2 linked regions of the Daphnia pulex genome follow. The protein of the gene in region 2 purifies or fractionates together with the protein of the main gene of each other region. This does not show direct contact. Links are inferred from orthologs where the notes say so. Each region holds a gene or a part of one and is shown on either strand. Other genes may lie near its edges.

What was found.
Region 1: the proteins of ER membrane protein complex subunit 1-like (region 2) and transmembrane emp24 domain-containing protein 2-like purify together in Homo sapiens (affinity purification with mass spectrometry; 3 studies listed by BioGRID and IntAct, with this or other methods). This does not show direct contact. The link is inferred for Daphnia pulex from reciprocal best matches to the Homo sapiens genes EMC1 and TMED2.

What each region holds. Positions count from the first base shown.
Region 1 is NC_060024.1:13,238,504-13,241,502, forward strand, and holds transmembrane emp24 domain-containing protein 2-like, read left to right. Parts: upstream 1-1,496; 5' UTR 1,497-1,588; coding exon 1,589-1,674; intron 1,675-1,770; coding exon 1,771-1,805; intron 1,806-1,869; coding exon 1,870-2,112; intron 2,113-2,179; coding exon 2,180-2,415; 3' UTR 2,416-2,499; downstream 2,500-2,999. Other genes in the region: fructose-bisphosphate aldolase-like, read right to left, coding at 2,862-2,957. UniProt on the Homo sapiens protein: Involved in vesicular protein trafficking. Mainly functions in the early secretory pathway but also in post-Golgi membranes.
Region 2 is NC_060018.1:527,823-532,023, forward strand, and holds the start of ER membrane protein complex subunit 1-like, read left to right. Parts: upstream 1-1,401; 5' UTR 1,402-1,526; coding exon 1,527-1,618; intron 1,619-1,694; coding exon 1,695-1,804; intron 1,805-1,864; coding exon 1,865-2,725; intron 2,726-2,786; coding exon 2,787-3,664; intron 3,665-3,734; coding exon 3,735-4,164; intron 4,165-4,201. Other genes in the region: alpha-(1,3)-fucosyltransferase C-like, read left to right, coding at 1-1,135. UniProt on the Homo sapiens protein: Part of the endoplasmic reticulum membrane protein complex (EMC) that enables the energy-independent insertion into endoplasmic reticulum membranes of newly synthesized membrane proteins.

The DNA of each region.
Region 1 (2,999 bases), on a different chromosome or scaffold from region 2:
ATCGTTTTGCCACCTACGTACGCAGATAACGCTCAGGCTCTCTGACAATGCTTTTCCGATTCGCACGGCGCCTTTCAGTAACAAGTGTCGAGAGTTTGAACATTTCAAATAAACCGTGAAATTTTTTTTCAGCATTTGGTTGGGGGCGTTGCTTCGCACACAACACTCTTGCTAGCACAATTAACAATAACTCAAGTTTTCAAGTTAAGCCCAATGGCGTCAGAATACTACAAGCGAAGACGAGGGTTGAAGTGTCTGACGGCTTACGCAGCTGGTGGTATAAATAAAAGTCACTCACCAGAATATGAGGATGACAAATTATTATATGGATGTGGAAAGGTTCGACAGCCTTAGACGAAAAAGCTACCGAATGGGAGGTACTGGAATTCTATTAGAAAAAAAATATGAATAAAGCAAAGTTATGCAATGTTAATTTTATTCAAGTTGTTTTACCAAATATGACAGGATCCACCGAAGAATAACGCCCTGCACTCTTCTCGCCACCAAGCATTGTGGATGCTTGGAAAAAAAGACCGATCCTCAGCAGCGAAACGTAGACTCCCTACTCCCTAGGTAACTAGAAGTCTAGAACAAATAAATAAATTGGCATTAGGTTAAGGTTACACAAAATAACGAATAATACAACAATACAATGTATAAACAAAGTTTTCAATAAAAGTGTATATTTCCCCCTCATTTTCCAAATAATGAATTAAAATTATAAAGATGTGATCCTTGGAAGAATAGCAAAAAAATTACTATAACTTGTTCGAAAGGTTGTTGGTAGAGAAAAAATTACACATTGATGTGTTCAACTTTGCATATTTAGAGTTATATAAGATGAACTATAAACTATACCAGGCATTTTTTATGTCATAACTAGTATTGAAAACAACATAGCACGGTAGACATTTGCATTCACAAACCAATGGTGACATTGGAGGATGCTAATTCTCGCTCCATGCAATTCAAAAGCTGCTGAACAAGTTTAAAACTGATTATACAGTCTAAAATTAATTTACAACTGAGAGAAAAAAGGTTTAAAACTCAACCCTAGAATTGAAAACTATTTTGTTACCTCAGCTTCTGCTTGCCATTAACATCAAATGTTAAAGATATTATATAGCCACTATAGGCGACCACGTGGTTGCTGTAAACGAGGTACAATTTTCTGTAAATTGTGTCCTCTTTCAGATTATTTTCTTCGACATTTTACATTAATACTTTGCTACAACATACTTGACATCAAGAATTTACGTCGAATTATCAACGTCATTTGGACAAATATACTTCAGCACAGTGAGCACACGTTCACACAATAGAACAACGAAATTACAACAGATCAAATTCCTCCTCCTCGTTCTTTGTTTCGAAAAAAAACTGAACGAAAACAAATGACGATAAGTTTTATGCTAATAAGCAAAGCAGAGTTGTCAAGTTGAAATTCCCGCAAATGTTACCGATATCGATATACAAAAATTCGATATATCTATCGTGTTACACGTCAGCTTTCGTGCCGGATTTGTATACTTGTAAAACCTGTGTAAAACTTGCCTCTTTCAATCTATTTAACTCATATTTAGCTACCATGAATCACGTTAGTTTTTTCGTTTTATTGTTGGTCGGATTCACAAATGCCTATTACATGACGATAGACGCTCATGCTGAAGAATGGTAAATATCAAAATTGTGATTTGAGCTGTACATTTTGTGATCTATTTTTTCAATATGTTCTGACACTAATTTTTGTGTATGTTGTATTTGATTCAGCTTCTTTGAAAAGGTTTCAGCAGGAACAAAATTAGGTACAAGAGTTTTTAAAAGTTTTCAATTGAGCAGCAATTCTAATTACAATTTTCTGGAACACAGGTCTTACATTTGAAGTAGCAGAAGGTGGATTTTTGGACATTGACTTCAATATTGTTGGTCCCAATGGTCAGACGATTGAGTCTGGTGAACGTGTGAGCAATGGAAAGTATGCCTTCAAAGCAGACATGGACGGAGTGTACACTTACTGCTTTTCCAACAAAATGTCTACAATGACTCCCAAGATTGTCATGTTTACCATTGACGTTGGAGAGCCTACTGCTGAACTTCACCCAGATGCAGCCAGTATGAGGATTCATTTCTTACAATTATCCTTGCACATTCTGTACTAATCATTATTTTCCCAATGCAGATGGAAATCATACCAAGCTGGAAGAAATGATCAAAGAACTCTCAGGCGCCCTGCGAACAGTGAAACACGAGCAGGATTACATGAATCTGCGTGAACGCGTTCACAGGACCATCAACGAAAGCACAAATTCGCGAGTTGTGATGTGGTCATTTTTCGAGGCCTTTGTCCTTTTGACCATGACTGCCGGTCAGGTGTATTATCTCAAGAGGTTTTTCGAAGTCAGACGAGTGGTTTGATCAATTGAGAATGTCCATCCAAAATAAATTTGTGACTCTTGTGTAAGTGAATAAGGTTTAAATAAACATGAATTTCAACCATCATTATCATTGATTTAAATTCAACGCATATTGTTGCTGGTATTGATATCGTGTATTGTATATGCATGTCAACAATCAACATTGGTATACAGCAAGAGTAAGTGAACTTACTACATCATCTACCAGCTTTCCAAACACTCAAATGGACCGAAGATGATTATTATAGTGAATGAGCTATTAAGAAATGACTACAATCTCAAGCCCCATCGGTAATCTTCGTTCATTTTTATCTAAACACTGATAAAGAAGTGAAAATTTCGAAAAAATGCATTCACAATAATGTTTTCGGCTTTTTCTGGCTTTTCTTTTTTTTTTTTTTTAATTTTAAGTTACGATGATGACTCCTTCACAGATATTTAATAAATCTAGTATGCGTGGTTCTTGATGAACAAGTCGTAAGCGGCAGCAGCTCCCACGCAAGTTCCAGCGACGTATTTGCCCTGAGCGGCTTCACCGTTGGCCTGAATATATTCGTATCAAAGGGTTTTAACATTCCATATTTC
Region 2 (4,201 bases):
TCAGGAGCCTGTGAAAAAGATTCTATTCTGGTATGAACACTACACATTGCGTAAAGGACAAAATCGCATCAGAGTCGGAGTTGGACAAGGACCAGCTGGTATTTCATCCGACAGTCAAGCCCTTCGCCTTTCACACTGTCCATACCAATGCGACATATTCAACCGCGAGCGTATTGTCGATTGGGATACGTTAAAATATTACGATGCTATCGTCTTTCATCAACACGGTTGGACGCCAAACGATGTGCCCATGAAAAGGTGGCCACATCAGCACTACATCTTCTTAAGTATGGAGTCATCTGCATGGAGATTTGTGGACACTAAATCAATGGCAAACTTTTTCAATCGCACAATGACGTACCGCAGAGATTCGGATATTTTCAATCCGTATGGCTGGTTCAAGTCCGCTAATCAAGCCGTTATTTTTGACTCGTCACAATTCGATCTAAAGACATTACCACGACTATTGCAGGAAACCCATCTCGATTCAGCAGTCAATTACGCAACTGGAAAAACCAGAAAGGTGGCTTGGTTCGTCTCCAACTGCAAATCTTTGAGCGCTCGAAACGAATACGTCGATCGACTGAAAACTTTCATTGATGTCGACATCTATGGGCAGTGCGGTAATATGAGTTGTTCTCGTTCAAATCCCGAATTGTGTCGTCAAATGCTGGAGCGTGATTACAAATTCTACCTCTCACTGGAAAACACACTGTGCGAAGATTATGTCACGGAAAAGTTTTTCGATCAGATGCGCTACCACATAATTCCGATCGTCTTTGATCTACACGGCCACCACGCACGAATGGCTCCCCCACACTCTTACATTAATGCAGCCGATTATCAGTCCGTCCGGGAGCTGGCCGATTATCTGACTTTGCTAGATGGAAACGACATCCTGTATAACGAATATTTCTGGTGGAAAAAGCACTATGCCAGTGTAGGCTCCGACGATACCAGGGAGGGAATGTGTCGGTTGTGTGATTTACTTCACGATTCCACAGTTTCCTCGAAGACTTATCGAAATATGACTGATTGGTGGGACGTACAGTCGAAATGCCAAAGCCTTACCTTCATGGACAAAAACACTTCTATAAATGACTCGAATTTCTATTGGAAATCTTTTCTTATCTGACAATGCAAAAATTTTACCTGCTGGATTCGGCTGTAGACTACTCCAAATTTATTGTGTATGTGATTTAAAAAGCTGTAAAAAACAAACAAAGTAATACACAAGCTCATTATAGTTTTCTAAGATTTAAAGTATCTACCATTTGTAAGTGATTTTCTTTAGGGGAAATGAATGATGCACACAAGAACAAGAAGTGAAGAACTCAAGAAAACAGCTAGACAGACGACGACTCGATTGAACCGAGCGGCCGAACTGAAAACTACTGTTTAGCCTAACCTTCAATTACTGTATAGCCGGTCCTGTCAATTTTCCATTCGCTTCCGTATTTCCGTCTGTTCTTTGACATTCACGAAAACGAATTTGTTAACTTAAAATAAATTTGCAGGTTTTCGAAATGAAAACCTATTTTTCGTCATTATTTATAGTATTTATTCTTATACAAACAATCAACGGTCTGTATGAAGACCAGATTGGGAAATTTGATTGGTACGTGAGAGGCTTCTTATCGAAATTTTTTTAATTAGACGAAATCTAACGTTTTTTTTCATGATTTTTTGTGTAGGCGCCAGCAGTATATAGGAAAAGTCAGCCATGCAATTTTTGATTCAACAGGAAAGAAAATAGTTGTAGGAACAGAAGAAAATGTGCTTGCTCTCCTTCATGCTGGGACAGGTATTTCTTCCATATTTCATAATTTGATGAGAATGCATGACCTGAAAAATTATTTTTTAGGAAAGATTGAATGGCGCCATCTACTTGGAAATGGACCGAAGAGCAAAATCTCTTCTCTTTTTGTATTAAATAACGGAAAAGTAGCATCCATCAGCAGTTCTCCAACTACTGTGAGAGTGTTTGATATGTCCTCGGGAATTCTTCAGTGGGAAGCAACTGTCGCCAAGGAGAGCCAACCTATTGTCAGCAAATGGGCTGCTTCAACACGTGATATAGTATCGGTTGAAATCAACCCTTCCAAGTCTGGCTATGAGCTACTCTTAACTGAGTATAGCTCCAACAGTGGAACAGAGAATGTTTCACCAACCATTGAGTTGCCGTGGTTCACTCCCGGAACTGATTGCCAGCTGGTGTTTCCTCACTTGGTGTGCCTACATCCTCACGACGACGCCGTCAACGTCGTAGATGTGAGGAACTCCGATTCTCATCAACGGATTCAGTTTTCGGACCTTGGCGTTGCTGTAGGTGCTGGCCAATCGGCCGTTTTCAGCAGCGTCAGCAGGAATCTCGTGTCGTTGAGGACGACAGACACACTTTCCGTGTACAAAGTAACTGACGAGGGACTCCAAAGAATCGGCGCTGAATGGCCCAGTGAAACAGTACTGGTGAGCGTCCCATCAGTTAAAGACGCTGAAGCTCAACAGAGATACATGTCCGGCTTGGTGAAACAAGAAAAAGATTATTTAATCAGAATTTACGATTTGGAAGCCGACAGTATGCTTGAAGATGTCAGTGGGACGGTAAAGCTACCGGAAGAGGTGGGCGAAGCTAATCTGCTTTCCACTTTTCTAATGAGAAAAGCCAACGGAGATCTCAGTTATCGCTACGCCATTGGTACCACCGATGATTCCTTTCATTACGGTATGAACCATATTACTTGTAAAAACACAGCACCTTTTACATGAATTTTCTCACACTACAGGTAGCAAGAAAGAAGTTTATTGGAGTCGCGAAGAATCTTTGACTTCCATCATTCAAGTGGAAATAGTCGATCTTCCTGTTTCTTCCATTGAAGCGTCCATCGAAGAAGAATTCGGTTCAGATCAGGTATTGGGCGGCATCTTTGGACACACCATCAGACGGCTGAGTTCCCAGTTTAGGCAACTCTTGATAATTGCCCAACAGCTCATGGCCGGACAGATCAATTTTGTTCGTCGTGATGCTGTCGGAAGTAACAACAGAGCGCTTGAACGTGATCGCTTTGGCTTGCATAAATTGATCCTCATCGTCACTCGACCGGGTAAATTGTTCGCCATGGACACATTGTCTGGCCGGATCGTTTGGCAGCGATTGCTGAAGAATGTCAACACTGAAAAACTTCGCCTGTACGTCCAGCGCACCAGCATTCACTACCCACTGGAGCCTCAGTGTACCATTTTGGCCAAGAGTTCCACTTCCAAACAAGGCATTTTGTTCGTCTTTCATCCAATAACTGGTGAACCAGGAAACTTTGGTAGCGAAGGCTACGTCAACCTGGGCTTCAATGTGCAGCAGGCTTTACTTTTACCTCAGAATGAAGAAACCGAGTACATTAAACCGTTGCTGCTTCTCGATGAATCTGCTGTTCCACACGTGTTTCCACCGACCGAATCAGCGCTAAGCCACGTAGTAAAAATGTCCGACAACTTGTTCGTGTTTGTAGCCGACACAAAGAGCTGCGTGCTACGTGGTTACTCGCTTGCCAAAAGCACGGCTGACCATCTCTCTTCTGCCCCTGTTTGGCAGTTACAACTTTGCTCATCGAATGACGTGGTGGAGGAAGAAATCGTTTCCATCGTCTCTCGTCACCCAGAAGAGAAGGTATAATAAAACGATAGTTAACGATTTGTTCTTGGTATTTCTGATTTAACATTTTAATGCATTTATCCAGGTCTTTTCTCAAGGCCGCGTATTGGCCGATCGAAGCGTTCTCTACAAATACCTTAACCCTAACATGGTGGTGGTGGCGACTGCCGGAACGAATCACCCGCACCATCGTGGCTATTTCAATCTTTATTTGATTGACGTCGTCTCTGGAGCTGTGGTATTTTCCACTTCTCATCGCCGCGTTCAGTCGCCTTACCATGTAGTCTACGCCGAGAATTGGATCGTCTACTCTTATTACAACGAAAAATACCGCAGGACCGAGTTGAGTTCGCTCGAGCTGTTCGAAGGACAAACGCAAAGCAACAGCACAGCGTTTTCTTCTTTTTCGGCGCCTCAACCTCTGGTGGACAGACAGGCGTACATCTACCCGGCCCACATCACGGCAATGAAAGATACTTTCTCCGAACAGGGAATGACGGCCAAACATATTTTGCGTGAGTGTCATCATAAATTCGACTTTTTTTTATATGG